Linked DNA regions of Mus musculus: regions 1, 2, 3, 5, 6 and 7 are each reported to be linked to region 4. The links are microRNA targets in miRTarBase. Many come from high-throughput screens and were not tested one by one. Region 4 holds a microRNA gene; each other region holds the end of a gene's coding sequence.

Region 1 (4,079 bases), not on the chromosome of region 4:
GAAGCCAGAGTCCGTCTTCCCATGGTCCCTTCCTTATTTTCCAAATGGCCTTAAAAGCTGGAGCCTTTAACTGGAAAACTAAGCCTTACCCATATCGTCTTACCATTTAGAGTCACCGCAACTTTCTAGAAAGCCCGTGGGCTTCAGTCTCCCAAAACCAGGTCCCAGAGCCGAGGGTAGGCAGTCTTGGAAACCGTATATAGTGAGAGGTCCTACCCCCAGCCCCAGCTAACGTGGCTTTCTGCCCTCAGATCCACATGAAGACAATGCCAGCAGCCATGTACCGACTGCTGACGGCCCAGGAGCAGCCCGTTTACATCTGAGCAGAATCTCCGTGATGTGGCGTGGTGTGGCGTGGCGTGGCATGGCGTAGCGGCATGCATGGAGGACTCTCCTCACCGTGGTTGTGTTTTTTGTGCTGCACCCGTGTGTCCACTGAGACATTCCCCTCTGGCGCCCAACATTTGGTCTTACACGGGAAGAGAAGAATCAGCAAGGACCTCTTTGCTCTCTGTCTCTCTCCAGTTTGTTTGGTTTTTTTCTTTCTTTCTTTCTTTCTTTCTTTTTTTTCTTTTCTGTTCCTTCCTTAATACCAGGGAAGTTTTGTGTGTGCCCTCTTGAGGGTGGAGAGCAGCTAATATCTCCCTGGGATCATGGTGGAGGGCCTTTGGGGGATGCCCACGGAGGTACCATCCCTCCCCGGGAGACACATACTTCCCTGAGGAAGTTCCCAGAGGCAGCGTGGAGGTGACTGAGCAGTGCTTAAAACTCAGTGGCTGATCTCTCTGCCCTCCTCACCTCACTTGATAGGAAAGGAGTTGGCAACAGATGACAGCGTTGAACATCCTTAAAGCCCACATCTTTAAGGATGTTCGCTGCCTGCTATGTCATTGGGGGCCCTGTACATTATTTCTGCCCAGAATTTCTGAGCCACTTTTAAATCTCTCCCATGGTTTCTTTTAGTTGCAATGTATGTGTGTGCTAATGCAGGCCTAACTGTTGAGAAATGAGGAAGTGACACCCTGGATAGGGCTGCTGTGACACCACAGAGATCCTGGCAAATCACAGGGCCTCCGAGGTCCCTAGATTGTCCAAGGTTACAAATTGGAGAATAGCCACAGGCAGGTATTACCCTCCTAATGTACTTACTGCACAAGCTCTTACATGTACCACACACACACACACACACATGAGCCCTGCACACTGTCACATTTGCCCTCTACCTGCTTTGAAGCAGGCTAAAAACCTAGCACCACAGACCCTGTGGAGAACCCCCAGCTCCTCTCTGGAAGATCCCTTCCCCTAGCAGGTTGACATAGGCAGAAAGCAGCCAGCCTTGTCCTAAAAAAGACACTGTCCTGGCCTTCTCTATCACAGTTGGCTCAGAGTTCCCTCTAAGACTCCCCCCACCCCATGTACACACTGGAGGTTCTTGAGGGTCAAACTGTGATGTGAGTGCCCTAGTGTCCTGCTTCCCTGCCCCAAGGCTAAGCCAGCCTGGGCCCATTCACAGCTACTAGTGAGGATGTGATATTATAAAGGCTAGAACAGATAAGCCACTAAATCGGGCAGACTTAACACTTGGTGGTGGGCCTAGAATCCCCAGCTGTGCTCCCGAAACGCGCCCTACTGCCTTGTAGATCTGGGAGTTTGCAGCTAGTATGGAGGGCTTGGTGCCTCCATCAGTTGCCTCACGTTGTGGATCACGTCTCAGTCTAGTCCATGTGTTTTAATAATATCATTCTGAGCCAGCTTCCACTTATTCTTGGTCCAAAGAGCAGTTTGTTTCCATGTGGGATGTGGCTAGTTTTTGTTTTTGTTTTTGTTTTTGTTCTTGTTTTTGTTTTTTGTTTTGTTTCATTGATGACCTCAGTAGAGACAGGGGGGAAAAAAAACTAATATATTTTGTAGTATGAATATAATCCCTGTTCTCTGCATCTGGGATATTTATATTGTATCTTTGGAAATGGGAGTTCAGTGAGCAGTGTTGGGAAGGATGGATTTATGGAGGGAAGAGAGGGGTCTGGGGGAGGGAGAGATGTGAATAGAACAAGAGATGGAATAAGGGGCTTCAGCCAGGGTGGGAAACAGCCAACCCCTGGGTTCTCTGACTTCATGAAATGTCTGGAGAGATTTGGGAAAGCCCGGTGCTTGCTGGGATCTGCCGTGAGCCCTCAGTTTGACTCTAGCACAAAAAGCCTCAGTGATATGAGGCCTCCGGCTGTCCAGATAGCTGCCTGAGAAGGACCGGGCCTGCTGCTGCGAGAGCTATGTGGAGTTAGGACCACAGAAGCCGGGCCATCGGGACTTGATTTTAAGGGTGTCTTAACAGAATGCTCCTGCATGGCCAGGCCCAAGGTCAGACCCCAGCAAATGTGGAGACCAGGGGACAAGCCTTGGGTTTTCTTTATATCTGAAATAAGTGATCTGTCAGGTATCTAACATCACCACACACTGAAGGCTGTGGTCCATCTCTCCTCTGCCAGAGATGATGGGTAGGACAAAGAGGGACATTATTGCTGCCATCTCTGGCATTGGGAACCTTGGTAAAGTCCCTTGACAGGCTTATGTCCGTCTGGACAGGAAGGCAGAAGCAGGACCTCGGAGGCTAACCTGGGACCCGTCAGGGGCAGACCCCACCAGTCATCACGCCCAGTCATCACAATGAAGTCTCTTCACCCCAGGGAAAGAGGAAAGAGAATGCTTTCCATTCTCCTTGCACAGGAAGCCTGGAAGCTTTAAGAGGGGCTCAAAAGCAAAGCTTCTCTTGCAAAGCTCTCCTAGGGAACTAATAGTTTAGCATCATTGTAAGGATTACTTAGTCTTTTGTGTTAAGGGAGGGTCCTCCCTCCCAGAGGGAAAAGCTGTCCCCTGGTCCAGGCCCCCTGCTGAAGCGTGTTCTTCCTCTGCTAGCATCAGACTGAATGGTTAAACTTGGGGTCAGGTCTTGTCTGGCATCTTCATATACACAGTTACATATGTAAATATCTCATCGCTCTCACTAATGGGGCCGACTACCCACAGAGCCGCCTTCCTCGAACTGCAAGGCACAAAGCCACTCTGCCCACTCAGCTGGAACGCGCTGGTGACTTGGCTTTGGGGCAGGCTCCCAGATCCACACACACACTCCCCGCCTCCCCCCTCCCCCAGTCCAATGAGGTTGCACTAGAACCCATTCTGCCTCTGCTTCCTCCTGGGGAGCTTTTCAGGGAGCCACCATCAGCCTTGAGTTCCTGAGAGAAGGGAAGGCTCACAGATCCATGGCAGTAGCCCACTTCCTGAGCGATCCCTTCCCTTCCCCACAGCAGGCTCCAGGGGGTGGAGGGGAGTAGAGCACAAGGCAGGCTGCCACCTCCCTGCACACGGGTTTGCTTTCTGAACTTCGCCCATCAACATTGGCCTTCAGGGAGTCCAGAGTAACCTACTACCTCCCCCATAGCTCCCCCTCCCTCCTCCTGCAGCCCCACCCACACCTATGTTCCCTTGGCACACTGATGAAAACCCACCCACGGAGCCCTGCTCAGGTCTCTCCACCCACTGGTGTAGCTGTCACCAATGTTTACAACCAAGGGCCACCTCTCGCTGATGTTTTAACCCTCACCTTCACCAGGCTACCTGTTAGTTTGAGTTTCACCTCTGTCTGCTCCCTCCCTGATTAGGGTCCACTTGAGTACACAAACCCTGATTTTACCTTCCCTCCATCTAAGGCAGTGTGTGATGACTGTGTGGGAATGAAATCTCTTGTACATACTTAGCACAGCACTTGGGGTATGAACCCACACCCCTGTTCTGTAACATTAGCGCTTACTGTAAAACATCGGGAGAAGTATAGTATTGTATTTGTAACAATATCATTCTTTGTATACACGAAACTCAATGATCTCTATATATAAATATAAATATATATAAATAAAATATATCTACACGTGAGCCTGGAATGTTGATACTGCACACCCACTGAATGTATTTCCTCTGACAGTCTGGTCACCGGTCCTGGCCCACCCTCCCCTTCTTTGTGCCGTGGCGGCAGTTGTCTGGTTTGGGGTTGTGATGTATTTAATGTGCTATCTCCTTATTTA
Region 2 (4,079 bases), not on the chromosome of region 4:
TTACAAATAAATTTTGATGTTTTTAGTGATCTGAGTCAAATTGTAAGAGAGGCACCTATAAAGAACACAGTGCGCCGTGATGGCCTGCCTGCTGAGCCACCTCCAGCTCACTGTGCTAGCTATTGCGGGGATTATTGCTTGGGGTAGTACTTACTTACACCAGTTCCTTTGGAATAATGAACATTCATTCCAAACAGTACCAGCCAAACAGAACAAGTTGGGAAGAAAAGGCCTAAACGAACTGGCCAGCCCAGTGCAGGAAATACAAAGTGACTTCTGTTTACAAACAAGACTTAAAGTAACTTAAAAGCATAAGGCCTTGAGGACATGGTGTATAACATGTAAAAAGGGCTCCATTCAAACACACTCAACCCTCTTCAATAGTCACAGGACAGATAGTGTGAGGTTGGGCTGCCAAGTCTCCAGTGACTTCATTATGCACAAATGCTCAAAGCAGCAAAAGGAGTCTAAGGGAGACACACATCAAAGAACTGTTCCAAAAAAGAACAGTAAACCAGACATGGTGGCTCACATCTATAATCCTCAGACTACATAGTAAAACCTTATTCACCCCAACCCCCCCAAAAAAAAACCTTAAAAAAAAACAAAAAAAGCCCAAGTGATGACGGGGAAGGAGAGTAGGCTGCAATGGGTTTACACTTTTCAGTCTGGAACACTTGGCAGCATTATAGTATCTGACCACACAAAAATGTCGTTTGCCTTTCAGTGTATTTGTGTGGCGATGTCTGTAAACACTGGAACCCCGTGCACTATGGCTGCTTCTCCCAAGCTACTTGTAGGCAGTGCAGGGGCACCTCCTCGACGCCAACTGCTGTGGGACACACAAGCTCTGAACAGAGATGTTGTAGGACTCTCATAATCTGAACTTTGCAAGATGGTGATGCCAAGAATGAATACTAAGACTGTTTGCTTCTGTTCTGGAGACTAAAACCTATACTTATTGTAACTTCACTAACGGCAAAATTGGGATGATGTAGCCCACAGATAAAATTTACATCCTCAATTACCCTAACCAATATGTAGCGTTTAATTTGCATTAAGACTTTTACAAAGGTGTTTTGCTATTCTGTTTCTATGTATTTTAAGAATGTTCACTGGACACAATGTAAGTTGGAAGCACTTAAGTACAGAAATACCCTGTTTGCCACATTTAGCTTTCAAAACTAAATGAGCCATGTATAAACAAGTTTTAAAATGTTAATTTTTAAAAGTTTCATTTGCAGTTTTATATCCATTAAGTGCCTTCAAAGTTCCCAGTTGTGTGGGCTGCTGCCTCACCTCCCATGTCGTCTTCTTCCTTCACATGGTGCTAAAACTTCAAAACTGAGGAGGGCTATGGGATTAGCAAATTCACCACTATGTCCTGCTCTAGGAAAGCAGTTATAAGGTGAGCAGCAAAGAAGAGTCCAGCTCCACAGAAAGTAGCAACACGGAAAGCAGGGAAAGCTCCAGTGTGACGAGTGAGCTGTCTTGCTGTTTAGTTTACACCCTCTTGGGTAGGACTGGCTTGGCTCTGCTCATTTCAGATGATTAATGCAGGGTAAATTCAGATTTTTAAAAACCTCTTGAACATATTCCCCACTGTAAGGAGTATTTGAGTTTCTCCAGTCAGTTGTCGGACAGAATGTGACTTGACGACTATTAGTTAAGAAGGCTGATGGGAGTTGGAGTCGTGAGTACACACACCACCGAGTCCTTCCAGTCTGTGCACTAAAATTCTAGACCTTGAGTTTCTAGTTATATGAAGTTGCCATTTTAGAGAAAGGTTGAAATAAGCATTTTCAGTTAAAGAATAGATTATCAACATTTACCACAGAAGTGCTTCAGCATTCTAAAAGAATTAGATTACACATTAAGCTATTTTACACGCCAACTTATTAATGCCTTACATCAACCCACTAGCAGGTTGCTGGGTCCTCAGTAGAGCCCTATGCAGCCCTGATTCTGTTTTCTGTACCTGGTGATGCTGAGTGATCACTGTGTCTGCCTGTCTTGTACTACTGACATTTCATTCAGACAGATCTTGCATTAAGTAACCATGTGGATGAACAACTGACTAATCAATGATATATGTATATATTTGAAGAGCAATAGTGTCTGTTATAAAGACTTTGAAAGTCTTATTTGTAAAATTTATATGGTGTAATTTTATGTATATTCATAAATCTTGCACTGTATTCTGTTAAAATATTGGTGCATGAATTTATTTTCAAAGTATAAAATAATTTAAAACCTTTTGTTATGAGTCAAATAAATCTCACTATGTAAATATATTCTTTGTTCTTAAGCTGTTTCATGAACTAAAACCTTTCTAAAAGCATGTTACCATGTGTCCACTCTCTAAGCCTACCACCGTGTTTTTGCTGTGCATTCATGAAACTAAAACACTAAACACAAAGGTAAGTCTATAAGCTTTATTGATACTTTGCTTTACAGTTCACAATGCATTCCACAGATAATTCAATACAGCTTAAACACAATGGTATAAGTCTTCATTTTATGATTTCTTGCATAACAATGTTTGGTAACTGCAAACATTTGGAAGCATTAAATTCAGTCCACAAAATCAACTATACATACAGTAAATCTTTGAAATGACGGTTACGTTGGAGTTCTATGTTCTCTTGAAAACAGGTGGTAGCGCTCCTACAAATACATTCTCTTCCTAGTTTATGTGCTTGGGACTACACTGTATAACCAATGACTCAGAGGTCAAGCACTGTGGGGCAGCTGCAAGGTTAAAGATCTAAGCTTTGTGAAACACTATATATAGATTATGTCTATATTTACTTATATTGGCAATCTAACAGTAAATCACAATACACCTAGAACATACCATAAAGACAGATTTTTCCACTCTGCTTTAGTAGTATGCTCATCTAAACATCTCATTTCAGAAAAATCTGCATCAGTTTTACACCAACCAAACACAGTACACTGTGAAAAGGGTTGTTTTTCCTGCCCCCAAATCTACCTTCTTTGCAACTTTCCAAATACAGCCAGACTACCTGCAACAGAATATAACACACAGTTTTCCCAGCATCCTTTATTCACCAAGTGCCTCATCTGGGGAAAACAAGTATGACTACAATGAGATCCATACACAGCAGCTTACAATACTTAAGATGATAAACACAGGAAGTCAAGACAGGTAATTTTTCCTCAAACAGTGCACTGCTAAAAATAACTGAAACTGCACGGCCACCCAGGGCTCACCCCTGACCCGCCCACCCCGTAACCAAGGGAGTGTCCCCTTTAAAGATGAATGTCTACTGTTTGGGGCCTTTTCATTCTGCTTTGCGCTTCAATCCAGGGATTTTTGCTTGGATTCTACAAATGAAAAAAGAAAAATGTCAAATTTTGTGTTTGTTTCCCACTTCTTTAAAAAACGTTATGCTGTATATTATTTAGAGAATCATAAAGCTACCAAAATACAAACTAATTTTCCACCTTTGCCTAATGTTTTTTAAAAAAAAGCATTAAAAAGAGTTAATGCTGGCCTCAGAAGGACACTGCCGGATGATGGTCTCGCCCTTGGTAAGAAGGCTGCAGGGCATACTCACTTGGCCATGGCATCCTTAACGCTCTTGTTTGCAAGTCCTAGATAATGATCTATCTGCGCCTGAGAAAAGAGGATAAAAGCATTATAAAATTAATATTGCCAAAGAATATCAATCAGTACTACATACCAACAAACTAAAGACTAGCTCTAAGTCCTTTATAATAAGAGTGAGCTCTATATTCTGCAATCTCCACAGTTAAGAAATTACCTGATGCCGTTCATATATAACAGGAATACTGAAGAGTGAGATCAGAGCTGAAAAAGTAAACACAGAGCTTTAAAAATAAATTAAAAAAAAAAAAAAAAAAAAAGAAGACTGGTACCATTCTAGGAGTCAACATCATACTATCAAGCCAATAGTAATCAAGGTAACCAGACAGTACTCTTAAAGCCTACATAAATGTTGACATTCTCCTGAGGCCTGGGAAATGCTCACATTCTCCTGCATGTGCTGAAGGAACCATGCTTAGCTTCAAATCACATCACAGAGATTCTA
Region 3 (4,079 bases), not on the chromosome of region 4:
TGGAGGTCAGCCCTCTGGTGTACTGGCTTTAAGTTGGGGATGGTACAGAGGATGCAGGGTGGAGAGAGTGGAAAGGAGGAAAATAAGAACCCTGAAGATCTCTCTCCGTTAAAACTTTAGTAGGACCCCAGATGCCCTGGATTATAAAGAGTAATTGCACTTAATGTAAGCCTGAGAGATGAGGACTTACCTCGTCTAGGACCCCCACCCCCATCACACACAGGACCCTCGTAAATAAGGAAGGTTTACTCACGTGGATGCTCCCCACACAACCCTCCCTTCTCCCCACCACAGTATCTGCATGGGCTTGCTTATTCTGAACAAGTTGATCTTTGTTTTGTTTCCCAGACGTTCCTTAACTCCACCCCTACTCAACCCCTCCTCCACCCTAAAAAACACAGAATGAAAATCTCACAAGCCCTCATTAAAAAAATAATAATGTCTCAGAGTCCCTCATCTTTAAAATTGATGCCTTAATAGTCACCCTCCAAATTAAAACTAATTTAACAAAAAGTTAAAAGACCCAATACCCATTTCCCATATGACCTTAGACCTCTCTTCCCTTTCCCTGGAACTTTTTTATTTTCTCTTCAGAAAGGCAAGCAGAACTAAGATTGGGTACTATATAAATAAAAACAACATGATACAAGTTTTCTGATTCTCTTCATTTGTCCTCAGTTTATACAATCTAATAACAGACCAAGTCCAAACACAGCAGCCCAAAGGAAATGGAATTCCCTGGTTTTATTCTACAGGAAAACCCCTGCTGGGCTGTTTGCATTCCCACCCAGGCAGGTAGGCATCCTATGTATGTTGTGGGAGAAGGATGACAGAAGTGCACACAGGGTGACTGCAGCCAGGAAGAGGGGCTCACGGTGAAGGTTTCACCTGCATTATTCAAGCTTCAGAAACTGGGACAAGTCTGAGGTGATGCTAGCAAGGCACGAGGCATTCACCTACCACTCACTGGGAGAAAACTGAAGGAGTGCTTAAAACTCACGAATCAAGATAAGTACTGTCTTGATACAGTATTTAAAGAAAATAAAAATTTTTAAATGTAAAAACATCTTTATGAACATATCACAATTTAAGTAGACAGGATTTGTCCTCATATTTGTTCAATTAAGGGCTCTTACCTCTTTCACCTTAATACCATTCCTGATACATCCTAAGATTTTGATGTTTTGTTCAATCTGGGTTTTTAATGCTTATATATTGAAATTTTAAAAAATGTCTGGTATGATGTGATCCCAGAACTTGGCAAATTTGAAGCAAGATCATATACATTCAAGGACAGCCTGGGCTACAGGATAGGATCCTATCTAAAAACAAAACAAAAATAACCCTCAATTTCCTAGTAGATCTTTAAATTATGCACCTGCCAGAAATGCTTATCTCATACTAGGTTTCAGCCTGTAGAAAGCTGGGTGTGGTGGTTCATGCCTAGGTATCAGCACTCAGAAGACTGAGGCAGGAGGGTTGCTATGAGTTGGAGGCTAACCTGGGTTATATAGCAAGTACCAGACTGGCTAGCCAGGGCTACATAGCAAAGATACAAACAAAAAATAGTCAAAAAATAATGATGGGAAATTATGAAATCAACAGATTGGCAGACTTGGAAGTGAATGACTTTCAAACTTTTTGAGGGGGTGGGGGACAACTTCTTAAACTTAATAATTCCATAAAGAAGTCTTGACTAGCTTTGTTACCAAAGAGAGGTGTTTGATCATTTTTCTGACTAGGCAGAGGAAACATGCACTGGAGTCCCATCTCACACACGCACAAACATGCACATCTAGCCATTTGTGACTTAAATCAAATTCGGGGATAACATTCCATTAGTGGGTGATGACATACCTCAGCAGAGAAATTGGAGCCCAGAAACAGCCCCAGGTAACTCTGGACACGTGCAGTGCACTCACCCCTTCTTCATTTGCATCCACAAATGAACACAGAATTCATTTGTATAGAATTGCATAGATGATTTTTCCCCAGGAAAAAAAATAAGGAGAAGGGACAATTGGCGCAGGATAGCCTTCAGGTTTAAAGCTCTTAGAAATAGCTCTGGTCAGAGCAGAAGCTGTCCAGACTTGTGCTTTGTGCAAATTGCAAGGGAGCTCTCACCACTGGGTCCAGCCCTACCCCTCTGGAGAACAGGGCTGGCTCAGGAAAAGGGAGATATCCAAAGGCAGGTCAGATCACTGGGACCGTGCGGCCCATGGCGACAGCTCACTAAAATAGAGTTCTCTAGCTACCTTTCAAAGTGGCCCCTAGCCCCCATCCCATGCTTCAACACCAGCCCTAATATCAAAAATAATTTTTCTTACAAAGTATTTTTTATTATTTTAATAAACTAACCACAGATTAAGGTCAGCCACGGCTTAACAAAAGAAGCCAGGGTGTTAAGTTCACTCTCCAGAAGTGACAGGAAGGAGAAACCCACTTAGGTAGGGGCAGGAGTCAGTAACTTTTAAATGTTCTCTGTCAGGGTCCTGTCTTTCTTTAAAAAATTAGTAAAATAGGTTGCTTTCTACAGAAACACAGCAGCAGAGGATAGTGCTCTATAGAGGTTTTTGGTATTGTTTCAAACAGTCTAGCCAAACATCTGGGCTCCTCCACCCCTTCTCAGGTGCACTCAAACCCACATGTAGTTATTGCTAAGTAGTTAAAAAATAGATCACTCTGCACCCGTTCACCTGAAGAAACCCCATATACAAGGTTGCTTCTTACCACTCTTCTCTTTCCCAAAGGGAACTTGCTTTAAAAAAAAATATTTAAAAAAAAAATCACATCTTAACTTAGCTGAGCTCAATCCTTAAAAAGGATGAGGAAAAGGTAGGGCAACAGGCAGTCTCCCCTAAAACTAGAATGGATGGCAGATGAGTATCTAGAAGAACATAAAACTCTCTAGGAAAGACTCCCCTTTAAGTTCCTCCTTCCTATTTCCATTCACTGGGATTTAAACCACCCTTTCTGTGTAACCAGGCCAAGCACATACATTACTGCCTTGATCCTTCAGGGAGAATTTATTCAACCCTAATATCTACCTAATTCAAACCAAAATCAAATTTGTTCAGTATCTCAGATCGACTCAATACTCCCAACTACACCACCATGTGCTTTTTTTCTAAAGTCAATGAACTTTGGTCTATTTTTTCCTTAACTGACTTGAGAACTTTCTTTCCAGGTTCCTCCCCGAAGGTGTCCACCCACCTCCCACCCACACACACCTAGTATTTCCCTACTTTCCCTTGGGCCCTGGGATTGGGACAGAAGAGGTTATGAGCTTCCCCCTTCTGCCTTGAAGTCTCAAGTCAACTGTGTGCGCAGGAGCAGTACTGCCCTGGGGTAGTGCTAGCTAGCCCAGCCCTGCTCCCACCAGACTGCCAGCACTCCAGCCCCCACACCCCTCTCTGCACTTGCCCCATCAACACAGGGGCTGGGTCCTGATGAGCCAGAGTTGAGCTTAACTTTCTTTGTTTAGCCCCTGTCCCCACTAAGGTTCCAGCCACTCAGAACCTGTGTGCCAGCAGTTCCCCACCAGGTTCCCGCTCCCTCCGCCTCAGTTCTTCCCTGTAACAGCAAGAGCACAAGTTGTTTGTCTCAGGGTGTCCATAGAAGCTGCAGTTCGGTTGTTTGCATTTGGTCTGGGTTGGGGGAAGTCCCCGTGGAGCTCCAGCCCATCCATCTGGCTCTGGGGGCTCTCTGTAGCCATTGCTATAGGAATCAGCCACACGGAACTGGGGTGGTAACAAGGCACCCCTGTGAACTCCATCTTTGCCTGGCTCCAGAGCTGGGATGTTGTCCTGGTGGGGGTACGGTCGCCCAGGATACTGTCTGGGAAAGGTGGCATATGATGGTAAGCCCCCTACACATGGCCCCCCTGCCAATTGCCTCCGGGGTTCCTGGCAGTGGACTCCACCCCCAGAAGGCCGAGGGATAGTAAAGCCCCCAGGGTAAGCAGTAGAGAAGGCCATCGCCTTGGGCTCTGCGGGGGAGTCACTGGGCTGGTCCTCCCCACCGTCCGGCTCTGGCTTTTTGGCTGGAGGAGGCCCACTAACTAACCCTCCATTCATGAT
Region 4 (4,079 bases):
ATACAGACTTGAGAAAGTGGAGACAGATGCCTCCTGGAACTTGGTTGCCTGCTGGCATGCCTCAGGTTTGACAATGAAGTGGAGAGTGATTAAGGAAGACACCTAACACCTACCCTGGCTTACACATGCACCAAAATATGTACATGTACACTAACATAAAGTACAGGTGCTGCAGTTATTAGTAGACTGCTTGCCTATCACATACAAAACCTTGGTTTCAATACCAGGCTTGGTGATACACACTTGTGATCCTAGTTAGGAGAACATAGGATCAGAAATTCAAGGCCACTTTCAGCTACCTAGCATAGGATATGTAAGACTATGTCTCAAAAACAATTAACAAATAGCCAAAATAATAGTAAATGTGGTTTGTTAAGCTTAAAGTATATAGCTGAGTGTAAAGGTAAATTGAAGAGCAGTGAGTTCCTTTTGTTGCCATTGAACTTCCCCTGAATTACAGTTTTGCCTCTGTTTTTATACATGTAGATAAGTCTTCAAAGGTATAAAATTTTTCTTTATGTTGTGTGAGTAATACTATTAAATGGATGTTTTTATGTAGTTTTCATAGAAGGAATGTATTTGAGATGAGGATAGATTTAAATTCTTTTCATATACTTTTATTTTAAAATAATTATGTATATTTAAGTATTATTTTTAAATATTATGATGTCAAGGCATATTAATCCTTTTGCCTGTGATAATATAAATTTCCCAAAACTTGGAATATTTGAGAAGAAAATAAAAAATACTAGGAATTATAGAGCTTCTTCCATATTAGAAGCAAAGAAACTAAAGAGACTTTAGATAAAAGATTGAGGTCCCACCTGGAGCAGTACTTCCGTACTCTGGTGACTCTCTGGGAGTACTTTTGTTTCTTTGCGTTTTTTGGCCCGCAGTTTGCATTCATTGATCAGTGAGTTGGTTGACATTCAAACCCACCGACAGCAATGAATGTTGAGTGCAGCCATCAATGTTTCCTTTTGATGAAATTGTCTTGGTCTTTTCTATCTCCTGGCTCTTCTTCCCACTATGGTTCTTTGAAGTCTGTTGTATGTTAGTAACTAGTCATCTGTATGGTTGTGGACTCATAATTATAGATCACCTTGACTGTATAGCAAGAACTTGTTCAAGACAGAAAAGTTGTGAGGAAGAAGGCACTATGTGAGAACCTTGTAAGTAGCTCTGATCACATGGGCTGAGACTTGGATGTTGATGTCTGTAAAGGAGCCCTCAGAGACATTGCTTCATCTTTTGTTTCAAGCTGAGACGTTAAGTGCCCTTTTCAAGGTAAAGCAGTATAGATTATGATTGCAGTTAAGTAAAAATTTTTGTAGTAAACATTTGCTGTGAGCCAGAAACTGTTCAAAGTACCCTCATATATCTTCTCATTAAATTAAAACTCTGAGGTTCTCTCCTCTCCTATTCTACATTTGAGAAAACATACTTGGATACGGAGGCTCAGAGATGACCCAGAATTCCTTAAATTAGCACATGGAGATGGAAATGTATCTGGTTCTCTCATGGAGATGTCAAATCCCTAACCGCAGTAACTGAAACTGGAGGCACAATATGATTTGTATAGACAGTGAGTAACTCTGTGAGTATTTTTGCTGAGTAAATCTCTTGACCCTAAAGCAAAAATTTGAAAGGACGTAGAAGAAATGAGAATAAAAGACTTAACTAGATTTTTTTCCTACAGTAAATAGACATTTTTAATACACCCTATTTCTGACTAGAATGACACATTTCTAGAAGATATTTGAGTGCATTTGGTACTATGATGGCACTTCCCATAAATTGTTAAAATGAAACACTTATTTATCAAGAAATTACAAAAAATAGACAATATAAATACATGGAAGCTTAAAAAAAAAACTTGCTGGTTCCCTTTAGAAAAGAGGCCACAGGACTGTATCTTGTGATGTCTGTCACATGATATATCTGTACAGCCTACTCCTTTGCTTCAGGAAACTTGTTGTCTGTAAGAATCCCAAGGTACAGTCAACGGTCGGTGGTTTTTTTGTTTTTGAATCCCAAACTCACCGACAGCGTTGAATGTTCCATGGAGTCCTCTTAAGGCTGGCTTGGTTGCCCATCTTTGGCCTGCTCTCATATTCTAAGGACCACTGCTGTTGGGTCTCTCACATTCTTCCCAAAATTTCAAGTTAACAGTACTTACACTGTGAAGTTAGTTTGCATAAAGCAGAAATGAGCTGCAGGATTGTGAGACTGCAGTTTACATTGCTGACTAAAAGTGGATATCTGTGGAAATATTTTTCAATGCTATCATTCTGAAAACATCAATATAGCAATTTTGTAGTAATACTTTAATTATTAATGTACAAAAACAAGAAAGACCATAACACATGCTGGGGACTTATGTGTAGTAGGATTTGTATATTTAATTCCAACCGTGTTTTCCTTAAGAAACAGAGACTTACCCGGAGTTCCATAGCCAGAACTTGAACACCAGAGTTCATTGTTCCAGTATTGGTTGGATATGTTGCTTTCTCCTTCCTTTACCAGTCTCAGATTTGAACCTTTACTGCAGAGCTAAATCAAACAAGCAAATTCCTTCTTGTTTGCCTGTAATAGTAGAAAATACATCTAAAGTCATATATTTCAGAGAAAAAGATGAAAAACAAAACTCAGTAGCTGAGAATCATGGGCTGCTAAATTACCACAGAAGTGCTAGTGATGCTCCATGATTTTTTTTCCCCATATAGGAAAAGTAAAAATTCTATGTGTACTAGAGCACAGAGAGTGTATCTGGAGAGATGACTCAGCAGATAAGAACTTGTACTTTTCTAGGCGGGACTTTGATCCCAGCACCTGTCTTAACCACAATCTGTAACTACCAATTCTTGCTGCAGGGATCTGTCAACTCAAGCCTTCACAGGCACTTGAACAAACACACACACACATACATACATACATACATACATACATACATACATACATACATACATTCATTCATACATACATACATACATACATACATACATACATACTTAAAAAATAAAAATCTTTAGAAGAACACAGAGCAACTAAAATGCCAGATGTATCTGATCTTTGTTTTGGGTGGTTATTTTTTATTACTTATTGACTTTCTTTTCCCCCCTCCCTCCCTCTTTTCCTCCTCATTTTTTTCTCCTCTCCTCCCTTCCCATCCCTCCCTCTCTTCCCCTCCCCCTTCCTTCCCCTCCCCTTATCTGGAACTCTCTTTATGTAGAGCAGGCTGCTTCAGACTCAGAGATCTGCCTGCCTTCCTCTGAGTGCTAAGATTAAAGGTTGTATCATCATGCCTGGCTATTTATTGAATATTTTTTATGAAAAGTCTTGAAAACTAATTAAACATTTTTCAGAATATTGGCTTTATTTTAAGCAACATAGAAGCTTTGTAGAGCTGCTGGCTGAATTGAGGTTAATATCTATCTAATCTAGGATACTTTGTGTTTAAATATTTTCTTAAATGTATTTATTAAATTTATTATTTTTATGTGTATGGGTGTTTGCTTAAGTATATGGCTGATAATCTCAAAGGCCAGAGGAATGTGTCAGATTCCCTGGAACTAGAGTTAGATGGTTATAAGCCCACATATGGGTGCTGGGAATCAAACTTGAGTCTTCTGGAAAAGCAGCCAGTACTCTTTTTTTTTTTTAAAGATTTATTTATTTATTATATATGAGTACACCTTAGCTGTCTTTAGACACACCAGAAGAGGGCATCAGATCTCATTACAGATGGTTGTGAGCCACTATGTGGTTGCTGGGATTTGAACTCAGGACCTCTGGAAGAGCAGTTAGTGCTCTTAACTGCTGAGCCATCTCTCCAGCCCCCAGTACTCTTTAACCAATGAGCCATCATTTCTCCAGCCGCTTTGGGTTTAAATACTGATGGTTGACCTAGCTGAAGATTCTTTTTTGTGTTTGTTTGTTTGTTTTCGAGACAGGGTTTCTCTGTATAGCCCTGGCTGTCCTGTAACTTACTCTGTAGACCAGGCTGGCCTCGAACTCAGAACTCAGAGATTCACCTGCCTCTGCCTCCCAAGTGCTGGGATTAAAGGTGTGTGCCACAA
Region 5 (4,000 bases), not on the chromosome of region 4:
CAAATGCTCCTCATCCTCCACTTTAGCCTGCTTTTAGATATGATTCTTGTACTATGCCAGACGACGTGAGAGGAGTTTGAGGAGAAGGGTCAAAATCCGGCATAACAACTCGACTTTCACCATGCATCTAATCCCAGGGACGGCATAGTGACGGATACTGACATCCTGGGTTTTAACTGAGCAGAACTGCAGCCGAGAACAGCAGCTCAGTCTCTCGCAGGCCTGCAAGCTTCTATGCCCCGGCCCCGGGGGTCTGTATCTTCTTAGCAGGATATGGACTACGCCCTGAGAAAGAGCACTGTCGACCCTCGCACTCTGTAAAGCCCTTCCTCAAAAATAAGAGCATCTGCTACCGTACAGCAGTTCCACAAGGAACGTGCTGGCATTATTGCGACGCGTGGGTGGAAACGCTGAGGCGTAGGAAAGTCAATTGACTTGCCCTGAGTCACACTACAAACAACACCTGTCACTGATGGGACGCCAGAGTGTATACACCTTTACTCCTCACGACACGACACCTCTCATAGTTTCTATTTGCGCCCCCACTCCCCTGCCACACCCACGCTGGGGCTGGAACCTGGGGTTTCAGGCAGGCTGAGCATGCACTCTGCCGCTGGGCCACACCCTGTTCTGCACGCATTTTTTAAATTGATAAGTAACACATATCCAGGAGAGACTATCTCCATCTTTCCTTGAGGCGTACAAAGCTGGGGATAGTTGAGTGACTTAAGGTCATACCATTTGGGACCAGAATGGGGGAGCCAAGTCTTGAATCTGGACTCCAAGGCTAGTTTTTACACTTGGAACATATAAGATGCTTTTCATTATTCACAGTAGTCCTGGTCTATAAAGTATGAGCGTGGGATTAGCGAATACTGAATCACCGCTCCCAAGGGACATGCAAGGTCATGCTTTCCTCAGCCAGCGACTCCATCAGCATGCTGCGTGTGTATTTCTTTTTGAGGGTGGCACATCGCATGTATGCAGGCCATTCACTCGTGCTCACCCCATTGCCATCAACACAGTGCCTCAGGAAGACTTAGAACTCATCTTCCCCGGACAGACAGAACGTCCACACAAACAGTGAAACAAACGATGAAGAACTTGGAAATGCACTGTGTCGTTAAATAGATTAAAAATAAAGGGCAGCATGAGACCCAGGAAAAGGTGGAGCTGGGGACGGCACATGCCCATCACTTTGTGGTCACCTTTGTCTGTGTGTCTGGGAATGACTGAGCACGGAAGGACTGGGTGCTCATTTTTGGATTTCAAGAAAGGTTTAGGGCGTAGGCAAATCGGAAGAGGAATGACAAGGATCGGCTGGACTGCCTGTGGGGCGGGGGTTGGGGGCAGTGGTGGTGGGGACGGAGCCTGAAGCCCTTTGGTAACTTCTTACTGAGGATGGGCCACTCTTGCTGCTCCACAACCTGGTCAGACCTGGGCAGGAGCCTGCCACTGCACGCTCTTCTGCCCAGTCACTACCCCAGTCACCCACCCTCTGTCTTTTGTTGGCAGAGGCTAAGTACTGTCCAAACCAGGCTGCTCAGAATTCCTGACTCCTAAACTCATGAGGTCTGGTGGCAAATATCCCCCTCCTTCCCTTTCTCCCTTTCTCTCTCTCTGTAGTGTGTATGTGAGAGAGTGTATGTGTGTGTGTATGTAAGTGTGTTGTGCCTGTGTGTGTATGTGTGTGTGTATGTGTGTTGTGTTATGTATTTAGTATGTGTGTTGTGTTGTGTGTGTGTAGTGTGTGTATATGTAGTGTGTGTGTGGTGTGTGTGTGTGTGTGTGTGTGTAAGTGTGTTGTGCCTGTGTGTGTGTATGTGTGTTGTGTTGTGTATTTAGTATGTGTATGTGTGTGTGTTGTGTTGTGTGTGTGTAGTGTGTGTATATGTAGTGTGTTGTGTGTGTGTGTGTGTGTATGTGTGTAGTGTGTGTGTGTGTGGGGGGGTGTTGGGGCAGGGGCATGCCGGGTACAGTAAATTAATGAAACACTCTACTTCTGCCCTGTCCTTCAGCTGCCTTGCCGTTGCTGCCTCCCATTGAGGCCCTGGATAAAGTCTCAGCCAACAAACACAAGTGCAAGTCCGGCTGCCACTGTAAGAAAGATAGGGCTGAAGAAGACATTCTCCCTCCCTCCCTCCTTTAAAAATGACTCGAACCTTTGGGTTGTTTCCCAGCCGGGATCAAGAGCGAGTCTTGGCCTTTAAATCAGCAGACATGCAGGACCCTCCTGGCAGTGCTGGGGTTAACACTGTGACCTCCTTACAGCTGCTGAGGAGTCAGGGCTAATTTTACTCTCCTATCGGGCTCTGCCCAGCCTCATATTGTCCAAGTGCTGAGATATGTTGGGAAGCATCAAGTCAGCACTTCTGCCGGCCCAGGAGGCTGCGCGGGCCCTGCTTTTTGCAGAAGGCAGAAAACCAGTGACTGCCTGCTGCTCGGCTCTGGAGCTGGGCCCTGAGAGTTCAGGGGTGGGGGTGGGTGGGGGAAGGGGCAATAACCCAGTTAGTGCTGTGCATGGGCAGAGGCTGTGATGCTGGCTTGTTCCCCGTTGTCTCCCACCCTGACGCATCCTGTACTGAGCTGCCCCGAGCTGAGCACAGTGAAGGACCTCGGGGCAGCTCAGTACAGGACCCCTCAGGGAGGGCGAGATCAGAGCTGGCTGCTGAGGCTGGCTCTTGGGCACTGCAGCCTGCTGAAGATCTTCGTTGCGTAGCCTGGCCCACCCATCCTTGGCCCCCGCCCTGACGCACACCCCTCACACACTAGTACAGCCGTTAGCCATGAAGACCTTCCTCACTTCCAGGGAAGATTCTACCTATGCCTTGGGTCTGCTAACTTAGTTCCTTCTCAGACATCAAGCGAGCAGCCTTGTTCTCAGAACAGTAATCGAATTAAAGCTATGGCAGGTTAGGACTCCAGTGAGCCTTAAGGTTTATGTCTGGCGTGCTTTCTGACCATGTGTAGTGAGATAGGCTCAGACTGTGTTTTGAGCACTACTTCAAAGCACTATTTTAACATTATACTGGTACAGTCAGGCATGGTGCTGCATGCCTTTAATTCCAGTACAGAGGCAGCTGGATCTCTGTGGGTTCAAGGCCAGCCTGGTCTATTTAGCAAGTTCCAGGACAGCCAGGGCTATATAGAGAGACTCTGTTTATAACTAAATTGCACAGGGACTGAAGGTGTGGCTCAGAATGCCTATCTCTGGTCCCACCCCCCTAACACAGCCAAAAAAGACAAAAGAAAATATAAATAAGCAAAATAAACCCAAGCCCCTGATTTTGTGTACTCTCCAGCAGACTGGTGTCAACAGAGAGGCACAGGTCTGAAGAGGACGTGGAGGGGCAGAGACAGTGGCTAGTTTGAGGAGTGGGATTCTGAGAGTCTGGTTTTAACTCTGAACTGAGCTAGTAGTGCAAGGATGGGGTGGGTTGGGAGCAGCAAGCAGCTACCTCATCAAGGACCATGCCAGCAAGGACGAGAAAGCCACTGTTACCTCCCAAGGGGCTACTTGAGGAGAGGTCACTGCTTGCCCCTTTTCAGGCTGGCCCGCTTCACTATCTGAGCCCCCTTCCTGCCCTCTATCAGGTCCGGCTGGAGTCCACTCCCTCTTAGCTCCACCTGGAGACAGCATCAGAGACAGAAAGTAGGAAATCACACAGGCAGATGAGCAAGCTCGGGCAGGAAGTGAGAAGGGTCAGGACAGAGAGGAGTAGGAGGAGGAGGAGGAGGAGGAGGAGGAGGAGGAGGAGGAGGAGGAGGAGGAGGAGGAGGAGGAGGAGAAGGAGGAGGTGGGAACACCATCTGTCCGCCAGAAAGGTAGCCAGGGGCAGCATTGCAACCTGGAGCAAAGTAGAGGTGAGGCGGAGGTGAACTTGCTGCGGCCTCCAGGGGCCTGCAGTGCCTTGGTACCTTAGTAAGTTTCATAAAGGACTCAATATCTGCTTCCAGATCCCCAGGGTCTGCCAGGGGACCCTCGACAATCACCTCCTCG
Region 6 (4,074 bases), not on the chromosome of region 4:
ATGTGTCTTTTAATACCATATGTGAGTGCTTACTGGTTTTCTGTAGTTTAAGTAAGTCTTATGTGTTTCTGCAGTTAAGCTTTTTATTGTTAAAGTTAGTGTGGACTGTTGACTGTTCAAGAGCGATTTGCTTTGCTGCCTGTTCATTTCCAGGGCTGGGGAGCAGAGTACCACCGACAGGACGTCACCAGTACTCCCTGCTGGATTGAGATTCACCTCCACGGGCCTCTGCAGTGGCTGGATAAAGTCCTTACTCAGATGGGCTCTCCGCTGAACCCCATTTCTTCTGTTTCATAGTGCAGAAGTATTCTTTCAACTATATTTTTAGTGGACTTGTTTTAATTTTAGAGGAATTTCCAGTACAGATGCTGTGAGCTGACATGGAAAACAGATATTATTTTTTCTACGTAATTGTGACCAACACATTTGTATTTTATGATGATATTACATTTGTTTGTATTCGTGTTCATTGTGATTAACTTTCAAAAGTATTGTAAACGATGTAGAGTATTTTGCCCCTGTTGAAATGTTTAGCATTGATCTTAAACTGGAACGTACTTTTTCTTATTGTCCCAACGTTTTTTAATTTGTTAAATTTTTTTTACAAAGTAGTTCATCACATAATGAAATTTTATCCTATAAGAGAACATATATTGTGGAAAGCAGTAGATGATATTTCTCTGGGAATTTCTTTGCCTTACCACCTTTGAAAAAGCATACATTGTTTGCAAAACCTCAAAGTAGGGCTTGCTTAAAGGAAACTGTTGAATCTTGTTTGAAGGACACTGCAGTCCTAACGTGTTCAGTGAAAGCAAGGTGGTAGATTTCTGGACGTCATACATTTACATTTAATATAGGTAATATTCATCAGTGTAATGTGACTTCATGCCATATATATTTTGTAAAACAATTCCTTTTTAAAAACTTCAAGTATTTCTCATTTACTCAAATTTGTTGTAAGTCCTACTTAACAGTTAGTTACTATGTGCTCTGTGGCCTTGTTCAGCATTGTTTGCTGCTTTGGGCCAACAATTCAAGAACTCTAATTTTCCTGTGCATTAATCTTTTCATTTTGCACTTTTATGGGTGACTGTCTTAGTGTAGCCTCTGGTAAAATACTATTAGGTGGCCTGGTTTTAGAGCTCCTCCTCGCTGCCTTGGCACTCCTTTGTGCAACACGACCACTTAGAGATGACAGCTGTGAGCTGTGCTGCTTTTTCTAGCCTTTAATTTCCAATGTAGTTTATAATGTTGTTCTTCTATAGCTCCAGCTAAGGTGCCTGTTAGTCCCCTACAATGTTATGAGCATTATTGACATTGAAAGGTTATGTATGTATGAATACCTTTGCTCCTTACCAGACTTGTCATACAAGGACTCGTGCAGTGTAGCCAGTAGAGGCTCTTTGGTTGGCCCAAGAATGAGGCTGTTGGTGTAAGTGAATCACAATAGGGATTGGGATAGTTCATGTCATATGTCATATAGCAAGACAATGTAGAGTGTAGGCTTGTCTCTCTGCATCAACGCTCTGCCTCTTTCTTTTTATCCTTTTAGAACCTACATGGACGCTAATCTCCACAACACTGTTGGATGTGAACACTCTTAAGACACTCATCTAGTTCACTGTGCCTTGTCCTTAGGACTCTTAACCACTTTCTAGGGAGCAGTTATGGCCTGAGATGGACAGTCATGGCCTGAGAATGAAGACACTACTTTGATAAAGAAAAAGGCCTCATTTGCCTATCAGAGTGAGAAAGGTTTTTTTCTGGTGCCTTTTGAAAATATACAGAGCCACTTGGTTCTTCTGCTGAAAATGTAATTTTGGTTTGACTTTTTAGAGTGCCCTTCCTGCCTTTATGAGGAAAACAGCTATTTTTTTTTTTGGGGGGGGGGATTCCTTTTGTTTTCTGTGCCATTATTTATTGCCTTTCAGAGTGCAACCATTGGGTGGCTTTGCTCCTTCAGAGAGGGCTCCTTGATAGCCTTCAGTAGCTTGAGCTGTAGACATAAGTATTCCATAGCAAGAGTGTGTCAGCTCCATGAGAGAGATGTCTGCTTTATAGCCGAGGCAGAAACCGTTCATGTTCCTTTACTTGGCAGCCTTCAGGAACAGGTTTGTAAGAACGTGTCTTGAGTTGAGTGAGTGTATGTCTGTGAGCTCTGCTGAAGTCTGGACACAAGGGCCTTGCCTGCTCCTTTTTTCAGCAGTGGGTTACATGTTGTCTCTCCACAGTCTTCATGTCATAGGTCTCGGACTTGCAGAGTCCTATGTGGCCTGCCATCTGTACAGTGGCAGGACTGAAGCTCTGAGCTGTTCTGAGGTTCATGGAGAAATCCCAACCTATTCTGTGGTCAGTAAATGGAGACTGTGTAGTCTACCTGCTCCTGTACTGTCCTTACTGTATGTAAGGATATACAGACGCCTGTGGGTAGGCAGTACTCACAGTGAGATGAAGACAGCAAGTGTGCACTGAACCACAGAGGGCAGGGAGTAGGGCCTCTGAAGAAGCCACCAGACCAGACCAGTGCCGGTACAGTCTTTGTCAGAGATGGCTCTGATGGGGCCCAGACTGACCCTGACCATGCTGAGTTGCTGAGGGTAGCCTTCAGTTCTCTACCCTCTGAAGTGCTAGGATGACAGACATCCGCCATCATACCCAGCTTCCGTGGTGCTAAGGATCAGCCTCAGTCTTCAGGCGTGCTAGGCATGTACTTTGCCAAGTATTTAGTATACAAAATACATTAGTATCTGCCAGGGAAAAAAGATTTGCAAATAATAAAGATTGCCATCAGTTTGATAAATGTTGTAAATGGAAGAATCAAAATCTCAGCGATGGATTACAGCAACAAGATGCTGCCTAGGAAAAGCAGGACCAAGAGGTACATTTGACTAGTATACCTTCAGCGTAGCGTGATGACCTCACTGATGTCACCCAACTGAACTTAAGGGCTGTAAGTAGGCGTGCTGTGGGCCTTCCAGAACTAGAGAAAATTATAGGAGGAAGTCAGTTCTAAAGTATCAAAAGCTGGGTAATGGTGGCACATGCCTTTGATTCTAGCACTCGGGAAGCAGGGGCTAGCCTAGTCTACAGAGCAACTTCTACACAGAGAAACTGTCTTGGAGGAAAATAAAAAAAGAAAAGTCAAAGAGCAAACAAATAGAACAGAGTAGGAATCCGTGTCCCCTTTTTTCTATGTTTCACGGTTGCAGGTGTAAGAAAAGTAGTCATAGATGTGGCTGAGTTTCTAAGATGAAACCAGTAGTAAGATTGCTAAATATAACACTTCAACCAAGTTAAACACCCTTTGGGGGTATGAATGAAAGTAACACTGCAATATGAAATGAACCGTGCAAGTAACACTTGGGGTTACCTCACAGTCTCCCTATGCCTGAGAGGACTGTGGGAAACATTTCCATCCCCTGCCAGTATCGCCATTGGGAGGACAGAGTAGATGAAGAAGTGAAGTCTTACTGGTCCAGGGCACGCCTGTCAGCAATGCCATTTGTGCTTCTGCCACAGAGAGCACCGAGAGGCTTGGCTCAGTATCCTCGAACCTTCTCTGGTCACTTCCCTGGCAGCACTTGGGTCCCTGTCACTCACTGGTCTCTTAAAAGTCCCGTCTCTTTGCTTCCTAAAGATTCTCTAAAAAAATTACTATTTTTTATTTCTTTTTTAAAAGTCTTTGTTATTTTGTTTTGGGATACAGTCTCTTTGTACAGTCCTGGCTGGCCTGGAAATTACTATGTAGGCCAGCCTCAAACTTGAAGTAATTCTCTTGCCTCTGCCTCTGGAGTTCTGGGATTACAGGCATGCACTGCAGAGTACAGTGAGCTCTGATGGCTTTTAAAATTCAGCCCCTTTGAGGGTTTGGTTTTAGATCCATTAGCTTTGTCTGAACCCATCTTTGTCCGGCCGAGTAAATCCTCTGCTATCCGGGGTCTCGGTAGAAATGTGTTCTCAGTATACATACGACTAAACATTGGTTGTTTATAGGTAGCCTCAGATATTTGGTAGAGCATCTTTTTTGAAAGTAATCTCCAGCTAGGTGGGTATTTCCCTCACAGCAGTAGGATT
Region 7 (4,079 bases), not on the chromosome of region 4:
CCTATGACTTGTAAAAGCTGTCTTAGCTCAGACTTCTTTATAAATTGAGGCAACACCGAATGAACTCAGCAGCTTGTATCCATATATTTATTCATTTGTTTTTTGTATCAACAATGTTTAAAGAGGAGAAGGCAGTTGATTTGGGAGGGGCTGGGTCAGACACGAGAAGGGCGGAAGGGAGAAAAGGGAGGGAGAAATGATGGAATCATATTTTAATTGTTTTAAAAGAATGAAAAATATTGGACTACACGTTATCATTTCAAAAGTTTAAATTCATTTTTCCTTTAATGAATGACACTCTCTCCCTCCCTCCTTCCCTTAACCCCTCCCTCTCACCCTCCCTCTGTCCATCCTTCCCTCCATTCAGAGTAAAAAGTGACTTTAATCAGAGACAAGCAAATCTAGCCTTGGAACAAACCAAAAACAACACAGAAGAGGAGGAGGACGGCCAGAATAACAACCTATAAAGTGCTTCCGAGTCTTCGGGGGACAGTGCTTCGGGGGACAGTTCTTGGCACCTGGCGGGAAAGTCCTGATTATCACACACAGAAGAGCTGACAGGAGTCCCTGCCACTGCCACACCTCATGACTTAGAGAATATGAATGAGTAGTCTTCGAAGTTGGTGGCAGCACTCTGCAGCGACAGGAGAGGAAGAGAGCCCTGGTTCTGAGCTCTTCAGTTCCAGCTTCAGCACGCATTGACTCTGTGACCTTAAGTGAATCATTTAACTGCTTCCTCTGTTTTAGTTCACCGCTTGGAAGGTAGAGGGATATTTCAGGAGAGCTACTCTTTGCTCTGGCTACAGATTGCTCTAAACAGCCTTTATTCTTATTTTTAAATGAATATTTGAATGTAGATTTATTTTTTATTCTTTCTGATGACACTGTGAAACATGGACACTGTACATAGTGGGCCTCTTCAGGGCTAGAGAATATCACACAGGGGCCAGAATTCCAAAGCTTGATTAGGTAGGAATAAAGATGTTCCATCGGGAATAAATACATAGGTTAGATTAGAAGTAGCAAAGACTCATGAGATCTTGAAGTGGGGAACTGGATGGGCACGGAATCTGTTTGCAAGTGCCTACTATGTGCATGGCCTCTCACGCTCTCTTGTGTGAGGTGGCCTTGATCAGTTAAACTTGATTCTGATGAGAGGAGTCATATGCAGAAGTTTAGCAAATGCTGGGAGTTGGGACACATTTTTTTTTTTCCAACATGGCAGTTGTAAAATATCAGACTCTGGTATGTTTGTCCCTTGAAGGCTAATTTTCCTCAAGGTTAGCAGAGACCTGCTTCTCCAGAGGATCAGAGAGTACTCCTGAACTACAGGTAGAGTTACTTGGAACTATTCAGTGAAGTCACACCTCACAGGAGAGATTTCCAGGAGTTTTGGAAGCAAGCAAACTTTCCCTTGAAACTCCTAACTCTACAAAGTGAAGGGGGAAAAAAAGTCAGTTGCTTTTTTGTCAAGAAATATATCACGTCTTTGTGTTGTTTGGCTCTTTATTTTTTGTATTGGTTAACTAAAATAGGGAACAATTTACACATATCTACTCAAGAGTTACACTTAAAGAAGCAGGATGGCTTATAGATCCCAGAGGTCAAATTCAGGGAGACCGATGCCCCCACGTTATGTAATCACTGTGAGATGGCTGGCAGAATTGCCCTGCTGCTTAACATATTGTTGAAGTCTGACACTTTCTTGTCTGTGTATTTCACTCATGTGCAGAGTGTCAGTCACCTTAACTGTGTATGTGTTGTAACTGCCCTGTGCTCACGCATACAAGATCTTTGAAGAACTTCTTCGAGTGCCCCACTGGTGACGCTAGGTAGAATCATGACGTAGGTGGCTTTACAAAGCATGTTTTCAACTCTTGGGGAAACCGAGGCCATTAATGGTATTCCTTATGGAGAGTACAGGCATAGCCATGGTGGCAGCAAGCTGGTCCAAGTGACCAGCTTGATTGATTGATATCATTTGGGAAAGGCAGACATGGAAGTAGAGGGTAGCTACTGGGGCAAGAAAGTTTGTGTCGAAAACAAGAGCTGAGGGTAAGACTGGCATTTACAGTTCGCCAGATTCTGGCGTGGTTGGGACATAGTGCCTCTCTACTAAGAGCAAACACACACACACACACACACACACACACACGCACGCACGCACGCACGCACGCACACAAGCACGCACGCACGCACACGCACGCACGCATGCATGCACGCACATGCACGCACACGCACGCACGCACGCCAGCACGTACACGCACACGCACATTTTTAAGAATCAAAACCCACCTCTTTTATTGAGCTCCTGTCTCTGAGGTTCTGTCTGACGTTTTATTTGTGACATTTTGGTCATATTCCATCACTGTTTATCTCAAAGCATCTGCCCTGACCTTCAGAGGGATGAATGGGTCAAACATAGCAACCCAGAGACGACTCGATTCTGCTCCCGGCTGATACCCCACAAGTGTCAGGGACCACATGCATGCTCCAGTTTTTGCCTTTTGTTCTTCTGTATTGAAGACCCAACGTGTTAGAGGTGTTATGGATTTACCTGCCCTCACCTGGCCCCACCTTCTCCTGGACCTTGCCTGCATCCTCCAAAACAGCAGCTTTCAAATCGTTCTAAAGGCCAGCAGGGCCAGCAGGTCTCAAGTTCAAATCTCTAGTTTTTCTTCCCAGTGGGCATCTTTCTGAGCACGGTTGCTTTCAGAACTGGGGATATGCTGGTGAAAGTGCAGGGTGGGAGGTGGGTCAATGACAGGCACACCGTGTGTGGTCAGTTAAAAGGAAAAAAAAACAAACAAACACACAAAAGAAATCCATTGTGCTTGGGCTGTGGCTCAGTAGTAGAATCTGTGCTTAGCATGCACGAAGACCTGGGTAGATCCCCAGCATCCCCAGAGACAGAATCACTGAATCCGGCTGTGCAGAATAGCTGGTTCTGAGCACCACCTACTGCTGTACCTTTTAAAGAAGAGGAAAAGCATCAATAACAAAACAAACAACAGAAAACTTTTCCAAGAGCTCGTAGTAAATACTTCTTGGTCTTATTTCCTAACTGCAGCTCAAAGTTAGCACCCAACAGATGAAACAGCCACATTTCTGAGAAGGATTAGGGCCGAGAACTTCAGAAAACAGTGGGACTACTTTATCCTTTCTTCTGCTACTCCTGGAATCTCTCCAAGCAGCTTCCTTCCTCCCTTACTCTACAGAGCATCAGAAAGGCCTGAGCAGGGTTTGAATACCAGAGTGCCCCTGATGTAGTGCCACTCTGCAATGCAGCCGAAAATCTCCAGGGCATTCCCAGTGACTCAGAGTGGAAGAATGAGGCAGCTACCTATGGGGCAACCCTGGTAAGATCCTCACTCTGCGGAAGGATATGTCCTGCTAAGAGCCAATGACACTACTGCAGCCCTGGTGTAGGCTGAGGTCATCTTTAGGACAGGCATGAATCTCAGGCAGCACAGAGCATTTCTAGATCAATCCCACTGATCTAATTAATTAGTGGAAGTCCAGAAATGACTGGATTTCCTATCGTTTTGGCTTTCTTGGTGATTGGTGAATAAGTAACTAGGAAGAAAGAGTGTTGCTGTGGCTATGGACACCCACGTTGCTGTTGGAGGTTGACGGGGATGCTGCCTTTCATATGTTCAATGATGAGGCATGGCAAGTGCATTGCTCAGCTCCTCGGTGTTCCTGTGTTCTGTCCACACAATATCTGTCTTCTACTTCGGTCCACCTGTGATTGCTATTCACCGTGCGTTCAGTGTGCCTGCTCGCCTGCTCAATGTGAAACCCCGAGACTCCACATTTCATTCTATGTGCTTTTCTGAACTGGTGGCTGATTTAAAAGCCCCAGACTGAAAAAAATTTATATATATATATATATATATATATATATATATATATATATATATATATATATGCTTGTGTTGAGCCATAGTGTATGTGATATAAATGTGCCTGCATGGATTAAAATGTCTTCTGTACGATATGCCCTCAGACTTCCTTTGTCAAGTATGTGTGAGGGGTCATCCCAGGTCACCTGTTCTTACTTCCATTAAGAAGAATGT

Evidence for each region. Region 4 holds the annotated microRNA mmu-miR-181a-5p (AACAUUCAACGCUGUCGGUGAGU, at 2,038-2,060, opposite strand). A microRNA usually pairs through its seed, bases 2 to 8, with sites in the 3' UTR of a target mRNA and lowers its output. Matches are read on the target gene's strand: a 7mer-m8 pairs with bases 2 to 8, a 7mer-A1 pairs with bases 2 to 7 and ends in A, and an 8mer does both.
Region 1: the mRNA of Apba1 is a reported target of mmu-miR-181a-5p. Seed matches in the 3' UTR shown: 8mer at 3,959-3,966.
Region 2: the mRNA of Eml6 is a reported target of mmu-miR-181a-5p. The part of its 3' UTR that is shown has no 7-base or 8-base seed match.
Region 3: the mRNA of Otud7b is a reported target of mmu-miR-181a-5p. Seed matches in the 3' UTR shown: 8mer at 1,283-1,290.
Region 5: the mRNA of Ank1 is a reported target of mmu-miR-181a-5p. The part of its 3' UTR that is shown has no 7-base or 8-base seed match.
Region 6: miRTarBase lists Smad5 as a target of mmu-miR-181a-5p. The part of its 3' UTR that is shown has no 7-base or 8-base seed match.
Region 7: the mRNA of Stk32a is a reported target of mmu-miR-181a-5p. Seed matches in the 3' UTR shown: 8mer at 849-856.

The regions. Positions count from the first base shown.
Region 1 is chr19:23,945,459-23,949,537 of GRCm38, forward strand. Apba1 (amyloid beta (A4) precursor protein binding, family A, member 1) reads left to right here. Exons shown (of 13, transcript NM_177034.3): 13 at 252-4,079. The coding sequence ends at 323. Among named protein-coding and RNA genes, the nearest start is that of Gm34076, 30 kb to the left of the region's middle.
Region 2 is chr11:29,741,259-29,745,337 of GRCm38, reverse strand. Eml6 (echinoderm microtubule associated protein like 6) reads left to right here. Exons shown (of 42, transcript NM_146016.2): 42 at 728-2,287. The coding sequence ends at 752. Rtn4 (reticulon 4) reads right to left here. Exons shown (of 9, transcript NM_194054.3): 7 at 3,792-3,838; 8 at 3,585-3,643; 9 at 924-3,351. The coding sequence ends at 3,309. Among named protein-coding and RNA genes, the nearest start is that of Rtn4, 50 kb to the right of the region's middle.
Region 3 is chr3:96,155,402-96,159,480 of GRCm38, reverse strand. It overlaps Otud7b (OTU domain containing 7B), which reads right to left. Exons shown (of 12, transcript NM_001025614.1): 12 at 1-4,079. The coding sequence ends at 3,513. Among named protein-coding and RNA genes, the nearest start is that of Mtmr11, 4.5 kb to the left of the region's middle.
Region 4 is chr2:38,850,722-38,854,800 of GRCm38, reverse strand. Mir181a-2 (microRNA 181a-2) reads right to left here and starts at 2,066; the gene lies at 1,991-2,066. The region is part of intron 3 of Nr6a1 (nuclear receptor subfamily 6, group A, member 1); the gene reads left to right. It overlaps Nr6a1os (a long non-coding RNA gene), which reads right to left. Exons shown (of 7, transcript XR_866167.2): 3 at 2,442-2,586. It overlaps Mir181b-2 (microRNA 181b-2), which reads right to left and starts at 971; the gene lies at 883-971.
Region 5 is chr8:23,141,223-23,145,222 of GRCm38, reverse strand. Ank1 (ankyrin 1, erythroid) reads right to left here. Exons shown (of 44, transcript NM_001110783.3): 42 at 3,994-4,000; 43 at 3,503-3,627. The coding sequence ends at 3,529. It overlaps Gm15816 (predicted gene 15816), which reads left to right. Exons shown (of 6, transcript NR_169137.1): 3 at 2,019-2,099; 4 at 3,958-4,000. Mir486 (microRNA 486) reads right to left here and starts at 2,668; the gene lies at 2,541-2,668. Mir3107 (microRNA 3107) reads left to right here and starts at 2,561; the gene lies at 2,561-2,650.
Region 6 is chr13:56,737,182-56,741,255 of GRCm38, forward strand. Smad5 (SMAD family member 5) reads left to right here. Exons shown (of 7, transcript NM_008541.3): 7 at 154-4,074. The coding sequence ends at 297. Among named protein-coding and RNA genes, the nearest start is that of Gm45623, 15 kb to the right of the region's middle.
Region 7 is chr18:43,314,688-43,318,766 of GRCm38, forward strand. Stk32a (serine/threonine kinase 32A) reads left to right here. Exons shown (of 13, transcript NM_178749.3): 13 at 368-2,794. The coding sequence ends at 467. Among named protein-coding and RNA genes, the nearest start is that of Gm31647, 66 kb to the left of the region's middle.